Linked DNA regions of Rattus norvegicus. The protein of the gene in region 3 purifies or fractionates together with the protein of the main gene of each other region. This does not show direct contact. Links are inferred from orthologs where the notes say so. Each region holds a gene or a part of one and is shown on either strand. Other genes may lie near its edges.

What was found.
Region 1: the proteins of Ikbkb (region 3) and Casp8 purify together in Homo sapiens (affinity purification with western blotting; 3 studies listed by BioGRID and IntAct, with this or other methods). This does not show direct contact. The link is inferred for Rattus norvegicus from reciprocal best matches to the Homo sapiens genes IKBKB and CASP8.
Region 2: the proteins of Ikbkb (region 3) and Fkbp5 purify together in Homo sapiens (affinity purification with mass spectrometry; 3 studies listed by BioGRID and IntAct, with this or other methods). This does not show direct contact. The link is inferred for Rattus norvegicus from reciprocal best matches to the Homo sapiens genes IKBKB and FKBP5.
Region 4: the proteins of Ikbkb (region 3) and Keap1 purify together in Homo sapiens (affinity purification with western blotting; 7 studies listed by BioGRID and IntAct, with this or other methods). This does not show direct contact. The link is inferred for Rattus norvegicus from reciprocal best matches to the Homo sapiens genes IKBKB and KEAP1.
Region 5: the proteins of Ikbkb (region 3) and Ripk1 fractionate together in Homo sapiens (co-fractionation; 3 studies listed by BioGRID, with this or other methods). This does not show direct contact. The link is inferred for Rattus norvegicus from reciprocal best matches to the Homo sapiens genes IKBKB and RIPK1.

The regions. Positions count from the first base shown.
Region 1 is NC_086027.1:67,755,602-67,761,682, forward strand, and holds the start of Casp8 (caspase-8), read left to right. Parts: upstream 1-2,419; 5' UTR 2,420-2,708; intron 2,709-6,081. UniProt on the Homo sapiens protein: Thiol protease that plays a key role in programmed cell death by acting as a molecular switch for apoptosis, necroptosis and pyroptosis, and is required to prevent tissue damage during embryonic development and adulthood.
Region 2 is NC_086038.1:6,460,277-6,464,644, reverse strand, and holds part of Fkbp5 (peptidyl-prolyl cis-trans isomerase FKBP5), read left to right. Parts: intron 1-2,319; coding exon 2,320-2,559; intron 2,560-3,610; coding exon 3,611-3,715; 3' UTR 3,716-4,368. UniProt on the Homo sapiens protein: Immunophilin protein with PPIase and co-chaperone activities. Component of unligated steroid receptors heterocomplexes through interaction with heat-shock protein 90 (HSP90).
Region 3 is NC_086034.1:76,019,750-76,025,692, forward strand, and holds the start of Ikbkb (inhibitor of nuclear factor kappa-B kinase subunit beta), read left to right. Parts: upstream 1-2,281; 5' UTR 2,282-2,364; intron 2,365-2,635; 5' UTR 2,636-2,657; coding exon 2,658-2,762; intron 2,763-5,943.
Region 4 is NC_086026.1:28,050,001-28,055,995, reverse strand, and holds the start of Keap1 (kelch-like ECH-associated protein 1), read left to right. Parts: upstream 1-1,953; 5' UTR 1,954-2,229; intron 2,230-2,370; exon of another isoform or gene 2,371-2,510; intron 2,511-3,548; 5' UTR 3,549-3,595; coding exon 3,596-4,234; intron 4,235-5,995. UniProt on the Homo sapiens protein: Substrate-specific adapter of a BCR (BTB-CUL3-RBX1) E3 ubiquitin ligase complex that regulates the response to oxidative stress by targeting NFE2L2/NRF2 for ubiquitination.
Region 5 is NC_086035.1:31,073,606-31,079,694, forward strand, and holds the start of Ripk1 (receptor-interacting serine/threonine-protein kinase 1), read right to left. Parts: upstream 3,563-6,089; 5' UTR 3,261-3,562; exon of another isoform or gene 3,206-3,260; intron 2,558-3,205; exon of another isoform or gene 2,389-2,557; intron 1-2,388. UniProt on the Homo sapiens protein: Serine-threonine kinase which is a key regulator of TNF-mediated apoptosis, necroptosis and inflammatory pathways.

The DNA.
Region 1 (6,081 bases), on a different chromosome or scaffold from region 3:
CAAAATTATTCAACGGAAAAAAGAAAGCACCTTTAGCAAGTGGTGCTGCTCTAAGTGGATATCAGCGTGTAGAAGAACAAAAACAGATCCACATCTACCTCCCTGCACAAAACTCAAGTCCAAGTGCATCAAAGTCCTCAACATAAAACCAGAGACACTGGACAAAGAATGGATAAAGAAAATGTGCTTTATTTACACAATGGAGTATTATTCAGAGTCAAAACAAAACAAAACAAAACAAACAGGAAAAGTCAGATCCAACTAGCCCGGCCCCATAGACACTCATACTCACAGACACTGAACCAACTTAGGCCCTCTGCGTGTGTTACGCTTTTGCAGCTTGGTCTTGTAGGACTCCCAACAGTGGGAACCAGGCCTGTCTTTGATTCTTGCCTGCTTTTGGGACTCTTTCCCTCCTACTGGGTTGAACGGTCCAAACTTAATATGAGGGGAGGTGTCCTTTCTCTCCGTCTGCCACGGAGATGAACTCTAATTCTGGCTCAATCCCTCTGGTGACCCAGCTAGTTTCTCTTCGGCAATTGGTTTTTGTCTCACTGGAATAACTGAGGCAGAACAGTATGGTTGCCTTAAGGACAATGTTGGATTAGAATTCTCAAGTAAGTGGTGATCTTTGACATTCTTGTGGCAAAAACATCTATGCTCTTCACCCAAGGGGTAAGTGAAGGAGGGATCTAGTGTCCCCAAGGTATGTTGTTTAGTAACTGTTTTAGTCTCTCATCTGTGAGAATTTCCAGAACAGGACTGAAAGGGATGGGGTGTCCTTGATGGATTTCCTGCAAAATGACCCTGTACAGTTGGAAGAAGAGCTGGTGTGATGGTTTGGATTGGTTTGGCCCCCACAGATTCATGTGTTTGAATGCTTGGCCATAGGGACAGGCACTGTTAGTGGGTGTGGCCTTGCTGGAGGAAGTGTCACTATGGAGGTGGGCTTTGGGGTCTCATATATGCTCAAGCCACGCCTAGTGACAGTCTCCTGCTGCTTTTGGATCAAGATGTAGAACTCTCAGCTTCTATTTCAGCACTATGTCTGCTGGACTGTTCTGCTTCCCACCCCGATGATAATGGACTGAACCTCTGAAACTGTAAGCCAGCCCCAGTGCAATGTTGTCCTTTATAGGAGTTGCCTTGATCTTGTCGTCTCTTCACAGCAGTAGCAATTGTAAGGCAGTCAGACAATATGATCAAATGCACAGAACAGCTGATTATACCTTTTCCAGACCGAGACCCAGAAGGCTCGTGTGCTGTGTGCTGTCCAGGGTGCTGTTTTGCTCTCCTCTCATTAATCATTTGACCCTGTTCTTTAATTGCTCATCAGCAATAAATAATCATACCTGCTGTGGTGGGGTAGCCCGACTACGAAGTATCTACCACAACTGGCCCATTCGTATGGGTCTTGGATTACAATCTGGTGGCTTTAGCAGACGCATCCCTCACTCGGGAACCCTCCAGGTAGCAGCTGGATTGTGTTGGTGACATACTGGTCTGGTTTAACCAGATTTCACTGGTTTTGTGAAACACTGTTTTGGTGTGGTTTGACAAAATGTCCCCCGTAGGTTTGAGCACTTAGTCCCTTGCTAGTGGCGGTACCTGGGGGGAGGTTGTGAAAGTGAGTCTCTGGGAGCAGCCTTGAGGTTTTTTATAGCCTGACCATACTTCCTGACCAGCCTTTTAACCCCGCCCCCACCCCGCTTCAGACAAGTTGTTACTCTGTAGCCCAGTTTAAATTGTAGTTCATCACACTGCTCACTCTGAACTCCAAGTATTGGGAAGGAAGTTAGTATGTGGTAAAATGGGATTTTAGTCTTTGTATCTACTTGATGTTCTGGACTCCATAATTCTGCCTCAGCACTGTGGAAAAACATGTTACCATGAATTCCTAGAACACGGCTAGGAGCCAGGATTTCTCCAGTGTGTGTACTTCCGAACGCTTCAACTGCAGGCCCGTGTGACCCTAAGAACAGCCTTATAATATGATCTTGGTGGGGAGACGGGTCCATGAGTTCAGTGCTGAGTTCAGACCATGCCACAAAGTAAAATTTCTCTTTCAGCGTCTCCCTTGACCATCTAACTTCACAGTGTGAACCAGGCAGTTCCGTTCTGTCTCCCTTGCTGGTTTTTTGATTCAGTGCGAAATCACTTTCTTCTTGTAGTTGGCTCCTTTGAACTGTGTGTGTGTGTGTGTGTGTGTGTGTGTGTGTGTGTGTGTGTGTGTGTGTGTGTGTGTGTGTGTGTTTCCAGTGTCTCTGGGCTAGCCTGAACTTACCAGTTCTAATCTTCCTGCCCCTACCTCCCTGAGTGCTGACATTTCTAGAGCTGGTTTACCCATCCAGTCACAAGGTATAGGGTTTCTGTATGCAAGGAGGTGGGGTTAGGGTGGGGGGAATGAGGAAGTGTCCTTAAGAACTGGCGGGCGCTCCTAAGGCGGGCAGAGAGAAGCAGCCTATGCCACCTAGTGATTATCAGAAATTAGTCATTTCTGCTCCTTAGTTCTCTCAGTTGCCTTTCTCCTCCCTCTGACCTCCGGTGTTTTATAGTTCCGCTTCTTTGAATCCATAGTAAACTTTGGCGGACTGGCCAGGGAACAGGAAGTGAGCCCGGCTAGCGGCAGCCGGAGGCGGAGAGCGTCTCCCAGGGGTTGCTCGCCCGAGAGGGGAGCTGTGACTGGCGGGGCAGGGACTCGGCGACAGGTGAGTGCTGCAGAGTAGTCCGGTTCGTTCCTCTCCTACCAGCAGGCCGCGATCCCAACGGTGGCAATCTAGCCTGACGCTCCCCGAAATGCGGCCATCGGAGTACGGTCATCGCCTCCTCCAGAAAACTTTATTCGATTTCTTAGGCTAACTTTCTTTGTAGTCCGGCTCAGGACCTAGAGCCAGGTTAATTATCCGGTGGCATCACTGTGTGTTCTCTGACTTGCGTTGGGTTTCCTCCGGCGATTTTCAGGCTCCTCCCAACTCTTAAGAGACGTCCCCCAACCCTAATCCCAAATCCTCTCTCCCTTTCTACTTCTCCAACATCTCCCCTCCCCTGTTCTCTCCCCTTTCTTCTCTTTGCCTTCCCCTTTCCCTTCCTCCTATTCTCTCATTCTCCCCCACCTCCTTCCCCTCCCCTCCCCCTCTCCCTCCCCTCTCCCTGACCCTTTTCCCTCTAAGATCTGGCCTCGAGCTTCTTGAACTTCTGATCTTTCTGCTTCCACCTCAGGAATGCTGGCAGTGCAAGGGGTGGGAGTGACAGGGTACCAGCTCTGCACTTAAAACCACAAAAACAGCAAGGGGGCTGGGGAGAGGGAGAGCTAGAGGTGGCCTGAGGCCAATAATTCCTCTACATGCTAAGCAGTTATAACAGTGACTGTCATTATGTACCAGTGAGGAATTATCATACTGTCATATTTCTATTTCTTACTATTTTTTAAAGGGAGTCCTTTAAGTGCCTTCTGCTTGGCTAGGTCTCAGTTTCATTCTTTAAAATGTATTTATCTCTATTTTAATTTAATGTCTATGAGTGTTTTGCCTGCATGTATGTATGTGCACTTGGTGTCCAGGGGGACCACAGATCTCTCGAACTGGAGCTACAGACAGTTTCAGTCACCATATGGGTGCTGGAAACTGAACCCAGTTGGTCTGCAAGAGCAGTGAGTGCTCTTAAACTCCTGAGCCTTCTCAACACCAAATCTTTCGTTTTTTTAATAAGCATGGTAGTAATCGAATTAGCATTAGGGTGATTAGCACTCCCCTTTCTCACAAATCCTATTTAAGAAGGCCCAAGCACTCATATGTGGACACGGAAGAGCTGCTGTTCATGGCTGTATGCCTCAGTGTCTCTTCCCCAGTGGGGAGGAATGTGACACCTGGGGTCATTTAGGTGTTATTCGGTTTTGCCTGGTCATTTCTGTTGTGGGTTAAGTCCAGGAACTACCAGGCTTTCTCGCACAGCCTGTACAGCAAGCATGGCCACTTCACTCGATCAGGCTGCTTTTTTTTTTTTTTAATCTTTCAACTTAAAATTCTCTAATAAGAAAGTGTGCATCTTCTTGCTTTATTTACCATTCCTCAGATTTAATGTGGCATCCTATGATCTGTGTGGGCTTAGTGCCCATCGGGGAATTCCGCGTTCATACCCATTGCCTCTTTACAGAGTTTCTTTTCATTGATGATTTTCAGGCTGCTGTTGTATGGTTCAGGTGTTACTGTGAAAGCTTCAGTTGCTACCCTCAGGAAGTTTGTGGTCTTGAACAGGAAATTCTCAGAAGTGAGCCGGAACTGGGGCAGAGGTTTCAGAAGATGCTGGAGTAACTCCGGGAGTGGATTGGGGGCACAAACAGGATTTGATTCTGCTGCTCCAATGTTGCCCAGGTTCCTGGCAGAATCAAATGCCAGCTAAAAGTCCTGATATGGTGGTGTCACCTTTGCCCAGACCTTGAGGGTGGACACGTACTTTCAGGTGACTTATTCAGTTCCCTCAGCTGTAAACTTGGGGCCCTTTACTCGGAAAACTTACCTTCTATTTTATTCTGTGTTAGGTAGCAGAAAACACAGTTTCAAAGTTCTTTTCTCTTTCTTCTCTTTAACACCAGACAGTATTTTAACTAATTCCCAGCAAGCAGCTTATGTGTTTGTACACAGGTTTGTTCACATGGTGAAGGGCCCAGTGTTTGCCTCTTTGGTGAGATGGCTGTAGGAAAACCTTTGATTTTAGGTGGGTGTTTTTGGTGTTGTTGTTTGTTTTTATTTTTGTTTCTAATGGCTGTCAGTGGGAACTATGGAACTAGAAGCAGGGAGAACACTTCTGTGTAACAAGAAGAGTCAGCTGTGGAAGTTGCAGACGCTCGAAGCCCAGGACCCCAGGCCCATCAGAGGTGAAGTACACTGGGGGCCTCTTTTTACTAGTTAATAAAAATTTAGAAATTCATCTCTTTTTCTTTTTTTATATTCTAAAAGCGAGTCAAATGAAAGTTTTTCAGTTATATCCATACGATTTTTTTTAAATCCATGTGTTTTGTTTGTTTGTTTCGGTTTTTTTTTTTTTTAAGATTTATTTATTTTATTTACAGATGGTTGTGAGCCACCATGTGGTTGCTGGGAATTGAACTCAGAACCTCTGGAAGAGCAGTCAGTGCTCTTAACCGCTGAGCCATCTCTCCAGCCCCTCATATGATTTTTCTAAATTTCATAGATAATCAGTTGTAATGTCTCCCCTTTTGCCTCGAACTTTATTAATGTGTGTTTTTTTCTCTTTTGGTTAGTTTGTTTGTTTCTTTGTTTTTGTTGTTGTTTTAAATCTTTTCTTAGTAATGAACTCTATTTAATTCTTTGTGAATCTTTTTGTTTTGGTCTGCTTTGTTTTATTCATTTCTGCCCCGATCTTAATTATTTTTCCCATATGTCTTAGTTATTGTTCTGCCGCTATGAGGAGAAATCATGACCAACGCAACTTTTAGAAGAAAGCATTTAGTTGGAAGTTTGCTTACAGTTTCAGAGACGTAGTTCATTATCATCATGGTGGAGAACATGGGGGCTGCAGTGCTGGAGCAGGAGCCGAGCTCACCTCACCCACAAGCTACAGGCCAACAGACAGTGAGAAACTGGGCCTGGCTTGAGCTTCTGAAATGTCACTGACATGGCTTCTCCAGCAAGACCACACCTCCTAATCCTTCTCAAAGAATTCCAGTGAGGGCCGACCTCGTTCAGATCACCGCACCGTCTGTTGCTTGTGGGTTTAGCTTGTTCTCTTGTTTCCAAGGTCTTGAGGTGTTTCGTTGAGTTACTAATTTGAAACCTCTCTGGCTTTTTCCATTTGTTTATTGTGTGTTCGTGTGCATATGTGTGTAGCTATTTGCATACCACAGAGCTTTTGTTCCACCCTGTGGGTTCCGGGCTTTAGAAGCAACACTTTTATCTGCTGAGCTATCTTGCCAGTCCCTCTCGAAGTGTGTGTGTGTGTTTGTTGCAGGTTTTTTAAATGATTTTTTTTAGTCACTTAAAATTATATGTATAGGATATGTATATGCATGTGAGTGCCATACCCAAGAGGCCAGAAGAGAGTGTTTGGGTCCCTTGGAGTTGG
Region 2 (4,368 bases), on a different chromosome or scaffold from region 3:
GTGGCCCTCTTTACCCAGGTTCTGGGTCTAAGAGTAGACAGGGAGAGAGCGCTGGGGATTGAACCCAGGGCATTGTGCATGCTAGGCAAACACTACCACTGGGCCACACAGCCTCCCCCCAGTGACACACTTCCTCCAACAAGCCACACTTCCTGATCCCTAGTCCTTCTAATTCTTTGAAACAGTTCCATTCCCTGGTGATGAAGTGTTCAGATATATAAGCCTGTTGGCCATCCTTATTCAAAGAACCACAGGGATCAATGCCATGGTCTTGGTATTTAGGAGGCAAAGACAGAAAAGTGAGAGTTCAAGGCTGCCCTGGGATAACAGGTTCTGTCTCAGAACAGTACTGTGAAGATAGCTCACTGGAAAGGCACGTGCTACCCAGCCTGATGACTTTGATTCCTAGGACCTACGTGGGAAAGAGAAGAACTCTGGCCTCTTCCACACTCCTACACAAGTGCATGACAAGTGGAATAACATTCGTACAGTACATGTGCAGACACCAACGTAATAATATGTATTTTTTTAAAGATTTATTGATTTATTTTATGTATATGAAAACACTGTAGCTGTCCACCAAAAGAGGGCATCAGATCCCATTACAGATGGTTGTGAGCCACCATGTGGGTGCTGGGAATTAAACTCAGGACCTGTGGCCAGTGTTCTTAACCACTGAGCCATCTCTCTAGCCCAGTAGTACATTTTTTAAGAACAACAAAAAATAAATGTGAAATGGCAAAAAAGACATTTTATATGTTGTAAGACCTCAAAAGAAAATAGAGAGTAAAAGAAAAAACACCTGTCCTCTGGTGTGTGTGTGTGTGTGTGTGTGTGTGTGTGTGTGTGTGTACACATACACAGATACATCAGATGCATGCACACACTTATATAATACACAACCCCAGAATGCAAAGTACTATAAGAACTAACTAGAGAAAGGTGGGACATAGTTACCATGTAGAACCAGGACTCTTTCCACATCAGTTGAGTATGTTCTGTGGCTCTCCCTCACTGTGCTTGGTGTAAAAAGACTCAACCCCTTAAGGACCATTCTGTGAATCGTGGGGATTTACTTCACTGACCCTCACAGGAAGAGTGTCCATGTCTGTTTTTATTATAAGGTTCATAATAATCCTAAGAGTCATAAGAGAAAGCTGTTGAGTGTCTCTCTCCACACGCGTTTAGGGCGCTCCCACAGGATAGATCACTAGAAGTACAAGTGCTAGAGATGAGCACATCTAAACTTTTAGGGGCGGAGAAAATGGCTCAGTGAGTGAAGCGCTTATGGCGCAAGCGTAAGAACCTGACTTCTGTCCCTGCACCCACGTAAAAGCTGCGCATGAGGAGCTAGAGAGGTGGCCCAGTGGGTAGGGGTGCTGCTTGCATTGCCAGCAATCACACAGTGGCTCATGGTTGTCTGTAACTCGAGTTCCAGGGGTCCAACACACACACACACATACACACACACACACACACACACACACACACACACACACACACACACACACACACACACACACACACACACTCACACTCTAATTCCAGGCTGCCTGAGACGGTAATATCAGTGTTGGCTAAAGCTGATTGGCAAATCTCCAGGGCTCACTGGCTGGCCAGCCTAACCTATTCAGTAAACCCCAGACTAGTTAGAGACCCTGTCTCAAAAAAAGGTGGACAGCTCTGAGGAATGACACCAAAGATGGGCATCCAGCTACATCCACACGGATACATCCACACATACACATTGTGAGAACAATTTGGCTTGTAGTTGGTTCAAAGGATTCTGTTTGTGTTTGGCTGACCCTGGTCCTATGGGCAGGAGGTGCAGAAGGGCAGGGCAGAGCAAAGCCACTCACTTCCTCGAACTCAGGACAGAGACCCAGAGACAAGATATTCCTTTTAAACACAGGTGACATCTCTAGGGCCAGGCACTCAGGTGGCAGGGACGAGTGGATCACTGCATTTGAGGCCAGCCTGGTCTATATAGTGAGACCCTGTTTGTAACTGTAACTTTGCTACTGTTGTGAATCAGAATGTACATATCTGATAGGCAGAATACCTCATAGGTGACCCCTAGTTCAGTAAGGACTCACTGGTGAGGTGCCTCCGGTTCCAATCAGAAGCTCTCAACACCATCTGGACGTCAAGGCTTTGACACTGAACTGGAGACATTTTATACTAAATACTGGAAACCAGTGAGTTTGGCCACTGTCTGATTGCTGGGTGTCCTTGCTTATCTGGTGTGAGTGCACTGCCTCAGCACTGAGGCGACAAGGGTCACGGCATCCCTTCTGAACTGTGACCGTCTGTCCCTAGGCCCTTGGACTGGACAGCGCCAACGAGAAAGGCTTGTACAGGAGGGGCGAAGCCCAGCTGCTCATGAACGAGTTCGAGTCGGCCAAAGGGGACTTTGAGAAAGTACTGGAGGTGAACCCTCAGAACAAGGCAGCGAGACTGCAGATCTCCGTGTGCCAGAGGAAGGCGAAGGAACACAACGAGCGGGACCGCAGGGTGTACGCCAACATGTTCAAGAAGTTCGCAGAGCAGGATGCCAAGGTGTGCCCGCTGCCTGGGCCGGGAGGGCACTAACCTGGGGCCAGGTCGGGAGAGACAAGACTTAGGAAGGGACTCCACTGTGGCCAGAGGCATGGACTGGGAGGCCCCGCGGCCCCTCTGTGAGAGCTGAGAGGCCGACTCCCTGAGGTGGAGCAGCGTCTTGTTCTGCTTTGTTTTTAAAGCAGGGTTTCTCTGTAGACCTGGCTAGCTTCATCTCAGAGGTCCTCCTGCCTCTGGCTCATGAGTTCTAGGGTTACAGGCATCTGAACCAAACCAAGTTCATTTGGTTTTGTTGTTGGTTTTGTTTTGTTTTTTTAAGATTTATTCATTTTATCTATGTGTGTACACTGTAGCTGTCTTCAGACACACCAGAAGAGGGCATCGGAGCCCATTACAAATGGTTGTGAGCCATCATGTGGTGGCTGGGATTTGAACTCAGGACCTCTGGAAGAGCAGCCAGTGCTCTAACCACTGAGCCGTCTCTCCAGCCCTGAGTTGTTATTTTTAAAAAGATAGATTCAGCCAGGCAGTGGTGGCACACACCTTGATCCCAGAGCTTGGGAGGTAGAGGCAGAGGTAGGAAGTTGTCTGAATTCGAGACGAGCCTGGTCTACAGAACAAGTTCCAGGACAGCCAGGAACACACAGAGAAACCCCTGTCTCAAAAAAACCCTAAGCCCGTCCATATTGTTTTTCTAGAAATACTTCCTAGCTGAATCCAGCTTGGATTGGAAACAGGTGTCCCTGTGGTGGCCTTTACTGCACACTCTGCTGTCCTCGGGAGCCTCGCTGGCAGTGGGTCTGTCTAAACACAGGCCAGCTTCTTGCCCCATAGCCTCCTTCTGGTCCCAGGTCTGGCCTCCATCTTCAGCTACCAGTAGCACAAGGGCTTAGTTATTCAACAGCTGCCTGAGGTACAAGCCCCTCCAGAGTGCGGCACCCCTCCTTCCTAGTGTGCACACCCGATGCACACATGCACACTTGCCATAAACCTGATCAAACCATCCCGAAAGGCAGGGGTTAATTCATTTCATCTCCTCCTTTCCCCTCAGGAAGAGGCCAGCAAAGCATTGAGCAAGAAGGCAGTAGAAGGAGCGGCCGGCAAGAAACACGAGAGTCAGACCATGGGAGAAGGGAAGGCCGAAGGCCACGTATGACGCCACGACAAGGAGGGAAGAGAGTCCTAATGAACTCGGCCCTCCTCACTGGGCTCGCCCCCAACTCAGGACTGAACAGTGTTTAGTGTAAGGTTTGTTACAGTCTCTGTGATTCTGGAAGCCAATGGCAAGCCAGTAGCTTCCCAACCAACCACAGCTGCTGCCGGGGGTGGGCGGGGACTGCCGGGGAAACAGCAGAGAAGGCCGCTGGTGTGGAGAGACCAAGCCAGCAGCTCAGTCCTGCTCATTTCAGTCTGTCACCTTTTGATGTCCAGCGCAGCATCCCTTGTGACCCTGGGGCCCAGCTGCTGTGGGTTCTTCACTATGGTCACTGCAGAAACCGTTGAGAAAATAAACTCAGTGGATCTCTGCTTTCCTATTGGTGGGCATGGCAGGGATCTCTGCTTTCCTATTAGTGGGCATGGCAGGGCAGGCGATGAGATCTCCTGTGGCACTGACTCGCCTGACACAAGCCCACACAAGGGGCGCCCAGGTCCACAGCTGAATCTCGGACTGCTTGCCTGCCCTCCAAGCTCCCCTCTCAGACTTGAGTGTGGCTTTCTGTCCTCTCCAGCATGTCCATGGGCTCTGTCGTTCCTCTACACCCTTCACTAGTGACAGCAGGTGGGGCTTTCCTGGTCAGTTTTCTGTTT
Region 3 (5,943 bases):
AGCAATGGTTCTTGGGTGTGGCTGCCTGTCACTAACTAAACACAGCTGTGCATGAGGCCTCCTTGTAAGAGGCTATGTTTGCACAGACTGGTTAGAACTGCAGCACCACGGAGAGATTGGAATGTTACAAGTCCAGAGGCTAATTATCTTATCTGGAACACCCATTGCTTACCCACCTCTGTGTCAGAACAAACCTTATGTGACTAAGAGATTAAAAAAAAAAAAAGAACCAAAAAAAACAAAACAAAACAAAACAAAACAAACAAAAAAAAATACCCCAGCTTTTGAAATCTATTAACTTAGCGAGCTAATATCTTCCACCAACCCAAAAGCTGAGGTCATTGGAGAACATCTGATGATTCATGACCTAGCTTCCCCATCTTGCTGTAATCATCTCTCTGAGGTATCCACTGGTGTGTCTCAAACCTGCCTTGATTTGTTCCTTTCTTGGGTCTGTAAAACTATAAAGCTTCTTAAAACTGCTTCCACATTGGAACGTTATATCCGGGGACTAAATGTATATTCCCATGCCGTGATCTCTTATCTATGCTCCTGAATAAACTATGTATTTTTTTTTCCTTTGAGGTGAGAGCTGTTTCTTTGGATGACACGGTGCACCCTTGGTTCCCACTTCTGCTTATATTTGTTTCAGGTAGAGGAATCTCTTACCTCAAAACGGAAGTGAGGTACCGAGATCTTCCTGTCAGGAATGGAGGCGTTCTAAGTAGACACTTGAGCTCTTCCTTTTTCCTATTAAACTGTGGGTATAACAGACTCCGAGAAATTGGAATCCCCCCCCCCAATATCATTTGAGGCCATGTGCGAGTCTGTATAAGAAAGCTGTGACCTGGGGTTGGGGATTTAGCTCAGTGGTAGAGCGCTTGCCTAGGAAGCGCAAGGCCCTGGGTTCGGTCCTCAGCTCTGAGAAAAAAGAAAAAAAAGAAAGAAAAAAAAAAGAAAGAAAGCTGTGACCTTCCTGAGAACTGTGGTCAGGGCAGAGTGCAGAATGTTCTTCGCACAAGGTGGCCTTCTAGAAATAATTGCATAACCTATAAAAAGTGGATGGCGGTGAAAGCGAGGACCGAAGGGTATGTCCATGTTATCTCTGTGGGAGGGGCGAAGTTCTGGGAGGAATATTCTTGGCTTTTTTCCTCACACGTCCAAGGATGATAAGACATAATACCAAGTGTATTCCCTTGTTGTCCTTGTATTTGCGAAAGCTCTCTGTCAACATCACTTCGTGTTTTGCTCGCTTTAACAATAAAAGAGTGAGAAGTGCTTTATTTGCTCTATTCCTGAGTTCAAATTCTCAGAGTTCCCTAGTTATCCCACAAAGACCGTGGACTTATCATTCAATCCGTGGAAGACTCTGTTGGCCTCGCTGGTTGCTGTCCGCTGTCTAAAAAGCCAGCAATGTCAGAAGCCTTGTGCTAACAGCAGAGGAGCCTGGCTCAGGCAGAGCTTTCACACGGTTCTGACAAATGCCACCTCATAGGAGAGACTGGAGCCTCATCAATGATGGTGGACCAGAACATACCTTGAGCACAAATACTTAGTTATGTATACCTCTTCCCTTCCATTTAAACCCAAACCCCATGGCAGGACCCCAAAATTGGACTTGGCTTAGCAGAGGTACGGGTGAGAGTGATTGGATCTCTTGTCTTTTCCCAATGTAGTCACATTGAATAAACTTCTTCACCCGCCTTTCATCGCTACTTGTATCATGAATTAGGCTATGGAAGGTGAGTGGCTGAACCTGGCTTGCTCGAGGCAGGGGTGGGGGCTGGTAGGGGTGTGGAGTGGCAATACCCAGGCTCTTGACCTAATAACAAGTAATTTCCCTATGCTCCCAGTGCTGAAACTCCAGTTTAGGTAGACAGCACTAGCTTTTGTTTTATCTTTGTACTCTTCCCTCTCCTCCCTCCCCCCTTGAGGGGGATGGTGGTGTGTTATGAGGAGCATAAGGGTGGTTTCTTATTCTTATTTCTGAACCAGGAGCGTTCGGGCTCCGAATGGCGAATGGTGGGAGGACAGGGAAGCAATTCTTAGGACAGTCCCTAAGTCAGCCCTAGTGGGGGTTTAGCAGATTAACTGCCTAAGCCAGTGGGATCAAGCTCAGTCAGAAAAGCGCCAGGGTGAAGAACTCTCCAAGCCGCCAGGTCCTGCACCGCCAGGTCCAGCACCACGGCTGGCTGTGGCTCAGTCCCAGCGAGCGGCTCGCGCGTCCCCTTTAAGAGCCGTCAAGTGCCCGTGACGTCAGGGCAGGAAGTGTTTGAGGAAGTGGCGCTGAGCTGGCTGCGTGGGGACCCCGAGTTTTCATGTCCTCAGCGGGTGTCGCTAGCGGCCCCGCGGCCCCCGGGGCAGGTGAGTCCCACGCGAGGGTGGCTCGTGGCCGGTGGACCGGCTCGCCCGGGTGCACGCTCGGCTTCTCCCCGGGGTCCCTGGCTGCACCGCGCTCGGTGCGGTGCGGAGCGGACCCGCCGGCGGGCCGGGCCGCAGCAACTTTTATTTGTTAACTAAATCGGTCTCCTAGCCCAGCCTCCCCTTGAAGGCAGCAGCCGCTGCTGCTTCCCCCTGCTTCTTGAGCTCCAGTGTTCTTACTCTCAACTTGTCCTCTCTTCCTACTTGCTTCTAGAGTTAGCAGGGAGGGCATCGATATGAGCTGGTCACCTTCTCTCCCAACCCAGACATGTGGGGCCTGGGAAATGAAAGAACGCCTCGGAACTGGGGGATTTGGAAACGTCATCCGGTGGCACAATCAGGTAGGGCTCTGGCACCGGGGAGGGCGGGTGATCTGTCTTGGCGCCTCTTCTGTCCTGGCCTGGTGTGGATGGGTGGATCCCCTCCTATCCTTGGCGTGGTCCAATGAGAGTGTAAGAAAAGGGACTGCAAAGGGGACCTGTGAGCTGCTAAACTGAGTCTTAAAAACCTTAATAACCCTGATACTTAGAAGGGCGGGGGGGGGGGAGTAAGCTGTCATTCCAAGTATTTTAAAATTATACATTTACTAATATTTAGACTAACACGTGATAGATTACATAGGGATAAATGTTGTAGAATACAGGCAGTGCTAAAAGATGAGAGAAATAAAAACATTTTAAATAACTATTTAAAGTATTTTTAGGTAGTTAATAACTCCAAGGTTTTTTCTTCTTTTTTTCCTTTCTTTTCCTTCCTTTCTCTCTCTCTCTCTCTCTCTCTCTCTCTCTCTCTGTCTCTCTCTCTGTCTCTCTCTCTGTCTCTCTCTCTTTCTTTCTCTCTTTCTTTCTTTCTTTCTTTCTTTCTTTCTTTCTTTCTTTCTTTCTTTCTTTCTTTCTTTCTTTCTAGTATGGTTCTGCACAAAACACCCTTAGTATGATTAAGGCTAATGGGTGAGAATGTGCAGCCCCTATAATGCGGAATGATTTGGACTGATTTTGCTTTGGGATCTGCTTATTATTCCTATTATTTTAGCCCTTCAGTGTCTGGCATGAGTTGTTCAGGTTAAAAGTTTCTGGTCTTCCAATTTTTTTTTGTTTGGGCTGTCGGTAAGTACACTGCGATTCTTGGCAGGACTCTCTTAGCTCACTTGTTTACTGTATGAGATTGTTTTACCCAATTTGGGTAATTGGTTCGTAATAATGCCTAAAAGGCACACGTTGCTTGTGATGTCTCTGCTGGAGAACACTTACTTACCTCAGGGCACGTGAGTGTAATTGTCACACTTGGGGGTCACAGCCTGTGCCCTATGCTGGGTCCTCAGTAAGTCAATTAAAATAGTGGAAAACAAGGGATTCATTCACGGCGAGGTCACATTGGGAAGAGGGACAGACAGATCCAGCAAACCTCCCACATCCATCTCCATGATCCTAACATTAGATTAAAGTTCAAATAGAACGCCAAGGATATGCACATGTAAGCAGTCTGGTCCAGCCTACCACAGGTCCTTTTTTTTTTTTTTTTTTTTTGTCATCCTGTGAGATTTTCTGAGAGTGTGTTCAAGCTCTGTGGCCCAGAAGACAAATTCCCCCTCTGGCTGGTAGTTTTTCCTCTCTCCCACCATGAAATTTCTGGGGAATTTCCCATCTCTCTGGCATCCAATGTTTAAAACTACCTCTTTAGAATGTCTTCATTTCTGCCAGGCCAGTTACCCAACCTCCTGAGAGACCTGGGGAAGTGCTCTCTCTCCAGAGGCCTATTTTTACATTTTAGGATTCCGGTGTTGGGCAACCCTTGGGAAACTTACCAAAACAAGAGGCCACCCTTCTAGGGAATCCTTCCTAAACAGCTAAAACCAAGGTCTTGACTCAAAATTAAGCGGTCAAGGTGAGAGACTAGCTTGGTTGGTGGTGGTGATGATGGGGAGCAATAGGCAGACTGAAGAGGTTTAGGGGTTAAAATAAACAGGACTTGGGTGGATAGAGGGGGTAGGGGTTAGAGTTCAGGAGGAGTCTGGCTGAAGTGGTGCTGGCTGGGGAACATGCCTGCTTAGACCTGGAAGTCCTCTGCTGTCTTCATGGACGGATCTTGGGGTAGCCTCGGGGCTGCTTTGGGTGCATAGAAGCAATCTTTAACCCACACCTAAGATCGGAAGACGCAGCATGCCTTCTGTGGGACGCGCCTCTGTCCCCAGCCTCTAGGCGCATGCAGCCGAGATGGCATCAGGCATCTTCGTGCTACCTCATAGGCTTTCCCTTGTCTACAGGCAAGGGAATAGTCTGTAGCTATCACAGAGAAATTGCCTGAAAGAGCCCTAGTCAGAAATGTGGCCCAAGAACCAGGGTCATTGCTGCAAACCTCTTACATGTCAAGGTCGGGGTAGGTTTCTTACCTGCTGGGTCTGTTTTACCTTACCTTACTTACATGCTTTACTTCTGGTGTTGGCACCTCTAATTCCTGTGTTATAACCGAGGAATCAGAAGCACAAGGGAATTAGGTAATCTATCAAAAGAGGCTATGCCGTTAACACATGCATCTATTCCTATCCGGACGATATGCCCTGCCGTGGCTTCTTCTGGTTGGAGCTAGAGTTTAGGACATGTCCTAAACCATAGCCAGTTACTCTGTAGGTACTCTTTAGCTCTTCACAATCGACCCAAGCCATTTTGAAGCACCAAGGAAAAACTAAGGGATACTCAAATGTAGCAGATGACCCCACTCCAATTCCCTAGGTTCCTGACAGACACAGTGCGGGCTTGACAGTCTTTGCTGCCTAGGCAACTCCTACATCCCCAGCCGAAAGCCATTTGTACTTCAGGTAGGCTCCTGTTTGCAGCAGACAAAGAGAGGGGAAAGATACAACTCCCGGGGCCTCAGCCTGCAGCTCCTCTTGAGGGTAAACAGGGGAAGGAACCACTCATTCTCACAACCACACAGCACTTGGTTGGAATCCTGACTGACTGACACTTGCTAATTCTTGGATTTGGATCACAATTTCTGGTGTGCATCACAGACCCTCATTGCGACTGGAAAGTCGTGAGGCAAATGCACCGTGGAAACATCCCAGGATCCTTTGCAGCTATTACCTCATCGGTGTGCCCTAATGGGAAAGAGACTGGCAAGTCCAGGGGATCCGTGATCGCATGATGGAAAGTAGGGAACGTGCTGGCTGTTAGAGGGCAAGGGGTTATCAGTCATTCTTCCTACGAAGTAGCACTGAGCTTTGCCGGTAAGACTAAGGTCACTTCCGTGTGTCGAATGTGTGATCTTGGAACTCAGTTCCCAGAGCTTCATGCAGACAAATGAAGAGGTGACACCATCCGTAATTTGTCTTTACTTACATAGAATGAATTCTTAAAGACATGACTAAGTTTAAATGCTCATGTGTAAAGATACTAATGACTAATGCTTATCGAGAATCCTTTTCATTTAACAGCTGCATGAGGCGGCAACACCCTTAACCTGAGTGCCCACTGGGAGGCAGAGGCAGGCTAATCCTTGTGAGTTTGAAGCCAGCCTGGTCTA
Region 4 (5,995 bases), on a different chromosome or scaffold from region 3:
TGGCTGGATAGTATTTCACACTACAGCAATACCACCAGCTATTGAGTCAGAAGCCTACAAAAAAAATGTAGGAGTTGGGCGAGTCCTTTGACAGTTAAACTGTTATATAATCATGGCTGTACCTGTGTGAATGAGCCTTGATAAATCTCCACAGCCAGCTCATGGGGCCTGGAGGCTTGACTTTGAGAGACAGAAATTGTGGTCTTAGGCACCAGGGCAGGAATCCCAACACCTACATCATAGCTGAGTGTGGTGAGACGCCACCTTTGGAGAAGGCTGGAATTGCAGTTTTATTGAACATAGGAAAGGTCGAGTTCATGTGGTGTCTCCAGGAACTTCCCACACGGATCAACATCATTTCCACCGGACATTCCTTTATTCAGATGATAAATATATAAAATAATTACTTAAAATTATATAGCAAAGTGTGGCGTCTATATTAAAAATGCCAGCACTTGGGAGACTGAGGCAAGAGAATTACTGTGTGCTCAAGGCCAGTCTGGGCTACAAAGTGAAATCCAGCCTCAAACATATATGAGTAAAACTGGGGCTGGAGAGATAGCCCAGCAGTTAAGAGCACTGGCTGCTCTCCCAGAGGACCTGGGTTCAATTCCCAGAACCCACATGGCAGTTCACAACCATCTGTAACTCCCGTTCCAAGGGATCCAGTATGCACCTTATACAGACATACATGCAGGCAAAACAGCAATGAACATGAAATTAAAAATAAATTGAAAGAAAAAACCCAGAATACACATTTGTAATCCCATTGGAGAGATGGAGACAGGAGACAGAGTTCAAAGCTAGCCTGGGCTAAAAATGACATCTTGTCTGCACCAGTCAGTCAAATAATATTAAATTTTTTTATTTATCTTTATTTTATGTGTATGGGTGTTTTGTCTTCATGGTTGTGGTGCTTGTGGAAGCCAGAAAAGGGTATGGGATCCCCTGTAACTGGAGTTATAGGCGTTCATTTTGACCCTAATACCAGTTCCGGGAATTGAACCTGGGTCCTCTGAAAGAGCTGTCAGTGCTGTAATCACTGAGCCATCTCTCCAGCACCAATAATAACTTTATTTTCCAAAATTAATTTATGTGTGCATGTGGAGGTTGGAGGACAACTTGGAGGAGTAAGTTTTTTACTACCACGTGAGAAACAGGGATGGAACTTAGTTGCCAGAATTGGCCAAATCTTATAGGTCAAGAAAATAATTTTCTCTCATAAATGCCTTTGTAGCAAATAAGAATCTCTTATCATATATATATATATATATATATATATATATAATGAGAAATGCAAAGAAAGGCAATTCTGGGCATTCCAACTCTCCAACACCCTCAGATGAATGCCACACCTCTCCTCATGAAAAAATGACTACAGAGAGAGGAGAGAGGAAAGTGGGCTGCTGTTGCACCTTGCAGGCTCCACATAGGGGAAGAGAATCAGTTTCTGCCAGTCATCCCCCGACCTCTACACACAAGCATACACACAAATAAATTAATGTACACAAAGCCCTGCGTGGTGTCACAGCCTTTAAACCCCCACCCCCCCACTCCCCCTCACCCCGGCACGCAGGAGGCAGAGCGAGAGGCAGAGGCCAGCCAGGGCTATGTAATGAGGCCATTCTCAAAAAAGAAGTTATAAGGCTGGGGTGCTGGCTCAGCAGTTAAGAGTACCTGTTGCTCTTGCAGAAGACCAGAGTTCAATTCCCCCTCTCCACAGGGTGGATAACCTGTAACTTTAGGGGGCACTGCACGCCCACGGGGCACAGACATACACGCAGGCAAAACACCCACACACATAAAGTAAAATGCGAATTGAAATAGAAACCATTAAAAAGTTATTTTAAAGGAAGATCTGTATCTCAACCAGGTACATAGGTCTGGCTGGGCCGGGTAGGGTGTGGGAGGGTCCGCTGGGGCAGGTTCAGCTAGAGGCGTACTGGACAGCCTAACCCGGAGGCAGGCTCCTAGGGCCGCCCTGACCCACGCCCTGCTCCCTCCGCCCGGCACCTGCAGGAAGGGCTGGAACCGCCTCTGCGTGCCCGCCGCCTGTTTCCGCCCTCCCGCTCCTCCCACGCGTGCCGCCCGGGACCCCGCAGCACCGCTGCCCCGATCCGAGGCCCCCTGGCTGCCCTCGGCTCCTCCCGGAAGCGCGGCGCGTGGCGGCCCGGCGGTGCGGATTGGACGCGTGGCACCAACAGAGACACCCGGGGGGGTGGGACGGAGGTGAGCGAGCGCCCGCGGAGGATGCGGTGGGGAGCCAGCTCCGGGCGCCGCCCGCGGTCGCGCGTGGGGACGTGCACGCGGTGGGGGGAAGCGCGTGACCCCTCCAAGTGCGCACCCGCGCCCAGCCCGTGCACCCGCGTAGGGTGGTGGCCGAGGCGAGTCGAGGGTAGGGGTCGCCCGCGGCCGGCGCCCCGGGACTCTTATTGTGACAGGGTGGTGCGCTGTGCTTAGTCACCGTGACCCGCGCGGCGGAGGCGGAGGCAGAGCGCGGCCATGGCGGGGTGAGTGCGCCGCTCCGGGCCGCGGCCCGGGACCAGGCCCTGCGGGCTCTCCAGGCGTCAGGGCTGCGCCTCCGAGCGTTAGGGAGGCCGCTGGAGCAGGCACCGGGTACCGGGTGGCTGCTGCTCAGCCCTCTGCGCAATGCCAGGCCCGAGCTCCGGCAGTGTGGTCACGCGTGACAGTCGCTCACTTACTGGGGCCCCTGGAGCATTTCATCGTCGTCCCCCCCATGGTGACCTAGTAGACATAACACTGGGGGACGCGACTCCAGGCTGAGCCCCAGAACCTGGGGAGCCAGCTGCAGGCCCTCTCTGTGTCCCCACATCTCCTTTGAAAGCATAACTCCTGTCCTGGCCCCAGGTCTCCAAGGGTCTCCTGAATCCCTCACCGTGGGTGTTCCAGAGGCTGCACACTCTGCCCAGGGCCTTGGTGCTCGCCTAGTGTTTTCTATACAGACCTTGCTTTATTTTCAGGCCTTTTCTGTCTTCCTGCTGTGTCCCTGGAGCTCAGAACAGTTGCAAGTATAAATGGCAGGCTCTGTAAATTTTGGTGAGGTGTTGAAGAAAGGGATTTGACATGTCGGATGAAGGGAAGGGAAGCATGGCTGGAACTGAGTGAAGAGGTCTAGAAGGGGGTGTGGAGTTTTACAGGCCATTGAGGAGCTGGGTTTCCACTCTTGGGCTCTGGGATAGGTATTGGGTGATTCTGAGCAGGAAAAGGAACGGCCGGTGATTTGAGAAGAAGTCAGTTTGAATGGAGCCGGGTGTGTCCAGTTCACTTGGCTTGACAAAAACTGCTCTAGAAATCATTGCTTAGTCTAAAAAAAAAAAAAAAAATTAAAGCTTGGCTAGATATGGTGACACAAACTGTAGTCCCAGTACACGGGAGGAAACAGCAAACAGCCTTGTTTACATAGTGAGTTTGAAGCCAGCCTAGGCTAAGACCCTGTCTCAAAAGAAAACAAGAAACAAACAAACAAACAAAAAAAAAATGTGGCAGGGTCTGGCCTAATCCAGCCCTGTACTCTTCCCTCCTTCCAGGCCCCTAATCGCTAGTGGTGGAACTGTATCTTGTCATCAGGAACCCCATGCAGCCCGAACCCAAGCCTAGCGGGGCTCCCCGCAGCAGCCAGTTCCTGCCCCTGTGGTCAAAGTGCCCGGAGGGGGCAGGGGACGCGGTGATGTATGCATCCACGGAGTGCAAGGCGGAGGTGACGCCCTCGCAGGATGGTAACCGAACCTTCAGTTACACACTAGAGGATCACACCAAGCAGGCTTTTGGCATCATGAACGAGCTTCGGCTGAGCCAGCAGCTCTGTGACGTGACCCTGCAGGTCAAATATGAGGACATCCCAGCTGCCCAATTCATGGCCCACAAAGTGGTGCTGGCCTCCTCCAGCCCAGTCTTTAAAGCTATGTTCACCAACGGGCTTCGGGAGCAGGGCATGGAGGTGGTGTCCATTGAAGGCATCCACCCCAAGGTCATGGAGAGGCTAATTGAGTTCGCCTACACGGCCTCCATCTCCGTGGGCGAGAAGTGTGTGCTGCATGTGATGAACGGGGCAGTCATGTACCAGATTGACAGCGTGGTCCGAGCCTGCAGCGACTTCCTCGTGCAGCAGCTGGACCCCAGCAACGCCATCGGCATCGCCAACTTCGCCGAGCAGATCGGCTGCACGGAACTGCACCAGCGTGCTCGGGAGTATATCTACATGCACTTCGGGGAGGTGAGTAAGACCTGGGGTTTGGGCTCAGTTGTCACAAGAAGTGGGATGGGCCAGCATAGTGCTCTCCGAGACTGGAGCGGCCATTCAAGGCTGGAGGAAGATTTCTTTTTTTCTTCCTCCTTTTCTCCATAGGGCCTCATGTAGCTCAGGCTGGCCCTAATCTGGTTGTGTATCTGAGGATGGTTTTAAGTTCCTGATTCCTGTGTCAGTCTCCCAAGTACTGTAGTCACAGACTCCCAGTATACTTAAGAGATACTGGAATGGAACGCAGAGCCCCAGGACTTGGTTTTACTTTTGTTTTTAAATCTTTTTTTAAAAATTCATTTACCTTTATTTTGTGTGCATTATTGTTTTGCCTGAATGTTTTTCTATGTGAAAGGGTCAGGTCTTGGAGTTACAGACAGTTGTGAGCTGCCACGTGGGTGCTGGGATTTGAACTCTGGTCCTCAGGAAGAGCAGTCAGTAGTGCGCTCAACTGCTGAGTCATCTCTCCAGCACCTTAGATTTTATTTTTTTTGGCAGACTTCTCTAGCTGAGGCTTTTTTTGTTTTTCTTTTACTTTTGTTTTTTGAGACAGAGTTTCTCTGTGTAACAGTCCTGTCTGTTCTGGACCTCAATTTGTAGACTGGCCTGGCCTTGAACTAAGAGAGATCCACCTGCCTTAGTAATTAAAGGTGTGTACCACCACACCTGGCTATTGAAGCTATTGTTTTGTTTTGTTTTTGTTTTTTAAGTCCTAAAAAAAATACATATATATATATATATATATATATATATATATATATTTGTGTGTATATGCATGCACTGATCTTGTGTGGAAATCAGAGAACAAATAGCAGGAACTGGCTCTCTCTTGCTACCTTATGTATGTTTCTAGGTTAAACTCAGATCATAGGGCCTGGCAGAAAATGCCTTTACCCTCAAAGCCACATTGCTGGACTGAAAACTCAGCTTCTGAGCCCCTAATCCAAATGCAGAGAGCATCAGGTGAGGACATGCCCTCCTAGTGCCTCAGCAGCCTGGTCTCTTTGGTGTTAAAAATAGTGATGGCCAGCCTGGGCTATACAGTGAGACCCTGTCTAAAAAAAGTGGGGTGTGTGGGTGTATATGTGCAAACATATTGGTGTACACCTTTAATCCCAGCACTCAGAAGGCAGAGGCAGGTAGATCTCTGAGTTCAAGAGTTCAAGGATAGCCTGATCTACAGAGGGAGTCCCAAGACAGCCAGGGCTACACAGAGAAACCCTCGGAGTGCGATTGAACAGGCAGTCAATGGTACCCACCAACCTCACACATGCAGTCTCCAGCTTTGCTTGGCTTTTCCTGGGTTCACATGGTATTGCTTTCATTTTCGTTTCTGAATACAGGAAGTCCTCAAGGGAAAGTAATAGGGCAGTTCTTAGGGAAAGCCAGTCAACAGCAGCCTTGGCTCTGGGTGGCAGTGACTAGAAAGGTCCCCTGGACATGACTGCATTCTGAATATCACCAACCCAAACCCCAAGTCTGAAATGCTTCAAAAGCTTTTGAACACCATCTGTCGTTCTCAAGTGGACAGTTCCACACCTGACCTCACAAGATGGGTGGCGGGCACATCAAGCCTAGTGCATAAATCTTTGGAGGGCCGATGTGCTCCTGGACTGGTAGAACCCTTCCCCAGCCTGTGCGAAGCCCTGGGTTCCATCCACACCTCACATAAACCAAGTGTGGCTACGCACACCGTTAGTCCCAGCACTGGGTAGGCAAAGGCAGGCAGAGCTGTGA
Region 5 (6,089 bases), on a different chromosome or scaffold from region 3:
AAGTTGCAGACACTTTATCTTAGAGTTATTCAAGGAATAGACAATAACTCACAAGCAAAGGTAGGGTGCCTATAGTCTTGTCTAGTGGCTTGCGGCAGAATGCTTGGGTATGTGAATCTTCTACACTCTATAGAGGCTTCCTAGAGGACACCAGCATAACAGCACAGCTGATATCAGAGGGGCACATCAAATGATCTTCTCCATCTCAGGCACTGCCAAGGAAGATGACTAGGAGTGGGGCAGCGGCAAAGAGAGGAGGTGGCCCAGATGAAGGAGTGAAGGCTGAGGAGTAAGGAAGGCACTAGAAGCGTGCTAGCAGGAACCATTAAGGGAGTGCAGAGCAAGGATCTTCCTCTGGAGAGTATGAACTCTTAATTCATTTGCCTCGTGACTTTAAGGAACTTACTTAAGCCTCCATTTCCTCATCTGTGAAAGGAAATAACAGCCCATCTTGGGACTGGCAAGGAATTTTATGAGAAAGTAACATGTGAAAATACATTTGCCTGCTTCATAGTTATAGCTACGGTAAGTCCTGTTGTTAGGTTTATAACACCAGGACTCTGAGAATCCACAGTGGGTCTGTGTACACAGGTGCATTTCTAAGTGTACAAAACACTTCAAAAGGAGGTATAATGACAAGGGGTATACCTACAATGGTCATCTCCCATTGAGTAAAGGCTGTCCATGGGGGCTCTGCCATCCCCAAGGAAATGAAGTGGAAAACAGCTCCAGAGTCCTACTTGCTTACATGTTAAATTAGCACTTAAAGACTGAATTGAGACTACCCAGCAGGTCCCTACAGACAATCTATGAGACTGAGAATGGACTAGTGTGGAGACAGAAGGTGTTAATATTACTAGGTGTTCCAGGCCCAATTCCTCCTTTCCTATACATTTTCTGGGGCAAGAAGTCCTGCCCAGTCTTCCTCATCTCAGATATACCCCTCCCTCTCCAGCCACATTCTTTTAAACCCCTAGTCAGGAAGACTAGAAGTTTCTGGTCTGAGTACTCTCATTTCCTGGGTTCCAATCTTAAGTCTTCCTATTATGAGATGTTTACAGAGCTCGCACGTCTCTCCTCAAATAGTTATTTTAAAATCGTTCCTAATGAACTGTACAGAGGCAAAAAACAAAACAAAACCACCACCAACAACAAAACCACCACCACCAACAAAACCAATCAAAACCAAAAAACCTGTTTGTCCTCAGTGCCTGGAAGAGCCAAACACATGGTAAACAATTGTTAAGTGGTAAAAAAATTCTAAAAGAAGAACTATTTAGTTGTTAAATAATAAAGGATATAATAAAACAGATCATAAACTATAAAATGGATTATATGGCAATAAAAAAACAATATAGAGAAAGACACCAAAAATTCACTAACATTGATTTTACATTGTAAGGCAAATTGTTCCTTTCTTCTGTATACTTTTGTTAAGTCAGTGTCTTGTGTGTGCCTAGGCTGGCTTGAGATTTGTGATCCTCTTGCTTCAGTGTTGGAATTACAGCTGTAATTACCATTCCTGGCTCTTTACATTTTTTATTACATTTCCTATAATAAACACAAATTACATTCATAACAAAATTACGTTCTGAAAGAATTACACCTTAACTCAATGGCTGTGTATTCTGAGGATTCGAGTCTGAGACAAAGTTATGCTTAGTGACACAAGCCTTCAAGCCAAATACCAGGAAGGCTGAGGCAGGTGGATCTCTGGGAATTCAAGGCCAGCCTGGTCTTCTATGTAACTGGCTTCAGGATAGTAAGGGCTACACAAAGACACTCTGTCTCGAAAACAATAAACAAACAAACAAAATCATACAGACTTACCCAGATTAAATTAATATTCTACATTAAAAAATATGGGGGTGTACTGACTAAATTTTAAAAACTTAGGAAAACTATGTTTTTAAAAAATAAGTATTATATCCATGTCTATATAATAAGATACATCTGCCAGAATAATATCCAACCAAAGTGTGGGAAGCTATTTTTTTTTTTTTTTTGGTTCTTTTTTTCAGAGCTGGGGACCGAACCCAGGGCCTTGTGCTTCCTAGGCAAGCACTCTACCACTGAGCTAAATCCCCAACCCTGGGAAACTATTTTTGATTCAATTTCCAGATCCTACTGAAGATATTAAGGAGTCACACACTAAGAAGTAATATTACTTCTACAGTGCCCAATTTGTAAGTTGTTACCTTGGACATATTTCTTAATACAATCCTGAAAGCTCAATATCATGTGCAAAATAGCAAAGAAAGAGAAAAATGAAAATTAAAGTTAAGAATTGTTACTACTGTTTTGTCAGTAACACAAACAAAACATCCCGAATTTTACTTAAAATAAGGCTAGTATATTTCTGTATACAATGCAGCTGTGATGGTTCACCTTTCTAACAGGCCTTTCCAGTGGTTACAAAATTACACGACTAAGTCATTCCATCCCAAAGTTCACTCTGCCACTGAGTCTTCATGTGTTAAGAATACCTTTCCGAAGGTCTTTTGTGGCATTTCTTAAAACAGCTTCACAAAATAAAAGAGCAAGGAAATCAAATGATCTGCAAGAGACAATGAATGAGTCACCCTGGACTGCACCATCCAATCTCAGAAGACTCTGTCCAATGTTTAGGTGAGGAGAATGCGGCCTATCTTTTTCACAATTCAGAGAGTGTCTGCAGCAATACAAAAGCAAATGCTACTGAGGACCAGAGAAGCCTTGGATGTTTGATACTAGTCTCTCGTCGAGGTTGTGGATCACTCCTTTTTCAGCTCGCCTCAAAGATAAAGATGAAAGCTACTGACTGCTTTGCAACCTTCTACTGCCCCAAGTACAACAGTAATAGACCCTTTTAAAGAGTTGGTAGGTCCAGGGTTGATAGATTACATTTAGGTAACCTAGTTTGGGCACTAACGCTTCAATAAGCCGTCATCCCTACCAAAATAATAATAATAATAATAATAATAATAATAATAATAATAATAATAAGAGAGATCTGTAACCGTGGTCGCGGCGCAGATGTCCACCTTCTCTGTCGCGACTTGAGCTAAAACTACCTCAAGTGTCCACCCTCCCGCTAGATGACAGCAAGTCCCGCGCTTTCCGATTTCCGGGTACGCTTGAAGTCCCGCCCATCACCCGGTTTCCGGAAACAACGAGCCCCGCCCTCCGGTCCACGCGCAGAAATCGCTCGGCCCCCGCCCCTTCCGGGAATCCAGCTGTTGAGGAAACTAGCGGCGGCCCGGGCCCCGGCTCTGACTTACCTTAGAGGCTTTTCCGCGGCCAAGTACTCCGGCCCAGGTGAGGAAGGACGGGCGGTGGACGTCAGGAGCTGCTCCTCGCTGTGGCTGCCGGGCGGGGATGAACCTGGGCCCTGACTAGGACCGGACGGAGCTAGGTGCTGAAGTGGCGTCCAGCCACGCCCAGGCTCCTCACCGCCTCCCACCGCGTCCACCTCGCTCCTCAGCCGGTTCGCACAGCGGCTGGACTCACGGGAGGTGAGCGGCACCGATACCCGCGCTCCGGAGGCCGCTCTGGGGGCCGCTCCTACGCGTCTAAGGTCTACTGGGGTGGTGCTAGGCTGCGACCGCCCTTGTCTCCGCCTCTGCTCACGCCCCGGGGCGGTGTGCCCGGGCGAGCGCCAGCCTCCCAAGCTGGGCATTGAGCTCTACCGAGAAAGCCAGGTTTGCAGCGCGATGATCCCGGAAATCAGCTAGGAAAATGAATGGTAGTTTTGCTTTGCCTTACAACTAGTTATGAGAGATCCCTTAAAAAAAAAAAAAAAGAGGCGGTCATAACCGCTGTATGTCAGGGCAGAGACCGCTTGGCCGCTTCAAGCACTGCGTGCGACAGTGGCGTTTGCAAGCTTTGTGGGTTCAGCGGTGACAGAACCCCTGGCAAATTATCATTTATCTGTCACGGCAGGCTGTCGAGGAAGAAACGTGATTAATTTGTAGCTCTCTAAAGTGGTAATTGAAATCCCAAGCAAAAAAAAAAAATAAGTGTTACTACAGGTGTCATTAAGAAAGAAGTTGCACGGTAATACAACGATCACTTATTGTCAAAGAAAAAAAAATAGGTCAAGAGAGGGAGAGGATCACAAAAGATACGATTAAGGAGACTTCCTAAACCCTACACACGACCACCACTTTAAGAAACTTAACAGCCATTTTACCAGATACCATGAAAATAAGCATTAAGAAGATGCTCAAGGGGGTTGGGGATTTAGCTCAGTGGTAGAACACTTGTCTAGCAAGCGCAAGGCCCTGGGTTCGGTCCCCAGCTCTGAAAAAAAAAAAAAAGAAGATGCTCAAGGTCCTAGGACACTAGGGGAACTCAAATTTGATGTCAAATACACATAAAAAGCCTCCAAATCCCAAACATTCACAGATGTTAATGAAGACATACAATAACTGAAAATCGCTTATATTCTTGCAAATAATGCAAAACCTTTATGGTTACTATATGATTTAGTAGTTTCACATACAGGTATGTACCCAAATAAACATACATCTACTGTATAAACACATGTACTTAAGTTGGGTTTTTTGTTTGTTTTGAGTTATTTTGGGGGTGGAGTGCGTGTGGTGTGTGTGTGTGTGTGTGTGTGTGTGTGTGTGTGTGTGTAAAACTGCACATAATGTGGAGGCCAGAAGCCCACCTCCAGAAGCTCCTTACAATTCACCTTTTTCTTTTCCATACATTGTCTTACTTTTGACTTTAGCTTGTGGAGTGGACTAAGCAGTCTGCCCAGTAAACTGCAAGAGCGTGTCTGTCTTCAACTCCAGGAATGTCGCCATAGCCAGTTTTTTGTTTGTTTGTTTTTGTTTTTGCAAGGGTGCTGGGGATTGAACTCAGATTCATATGTTGCCATGGCAAGCACTTTTCTGAAACCCTGAGCATTGTTTTTCTTTAATTTTTTTTGTTTTATTTTTGAGTGTGTATATATGAGTGTAGATTCTCCCAGAGGCCACAAAAAGGCATCAGGTCCCCAGAAGTTAGAGTTACAGGTGAGCTGTCTGGTGTGAGTCTAGGAACCACACTTAGGTCCTTTGTAAGATCAGTATGTGCTTTTAACAGCTGACTCATAGTTCCGGCTCCTGTATTTGAAACAGTTAAGTGTTTATTTTCTATGTATGAGTGTTTTGGGTGCATGTTTGTGTACCACTTGCATGCTTGGTGCTTATGGAGGTCAGAGGAGGGCATCAGATCTCCTGGAATTGGAGGTATGGATAGTTGTGAGTCACCACGTGAGTGCTGAGACCCTGGTCCTCTGCAAGAACAACCACTGAGCCATCTCTCCCATTACTGTGTTTGAATTTTTGCAGCAGCTTTTCATAATTGCCAAAACTTGAAAGCAAATGAGTTACCTTTCAAAAGCTCTAGTAAATCTACCACAATGGACTACTACTTGGCATTAAAATGAATTACAGAATTAAAAAAAAAAGAATTTGGTGTGTTTTTATGTATTTCTAAGTAATAACAATCAATCTTAAAAAAAACTATGTTACAATGTATGATTTCAAAGATGACATCTTCAATGAGGGAAAGTTATGAAGATTCTACATAGGCCAGTGGTTGCCATGGGTTTACAAGGAAGGGGGATATATCAGTAAAGCATAGGAGACTTTTCTTTTTTTGCAACCTGAAACTATTTGATCTGACTATAGTCCCATGTTTACCTGTCATGGCTTGTCCCGTCTGGGTACTCCAGAGAGGCAGAGCCAAAAAGTTAGAAAGGAAGATAGAAAGATAGGAGTAGATATTTTTTTAGGGGAACCTATATTGCTGGTAATGGCTCATTCTTAGACTTGATACCTCAGGATAGGGAAGCTAATAGTGTGCCTTTACAGTGCATTGCTACTTTTTATTGCTGTTAACATCTTACTAGGCCTAACTTAAATTACAAGGTAACCAAGGTAACGGAACAGAGACAGACAGACAGACAGACAGACACACACACACACACACACACAGACAGAGACAGAGACAGAGACAGAGAGAGACAGAGAGTGTTAGATCTGTACTATCTAAGGTTTCAAGCATTTCATTTGGTTCTTCCCCAGATGGCCATTTTCTTCTGGATCTCCCCT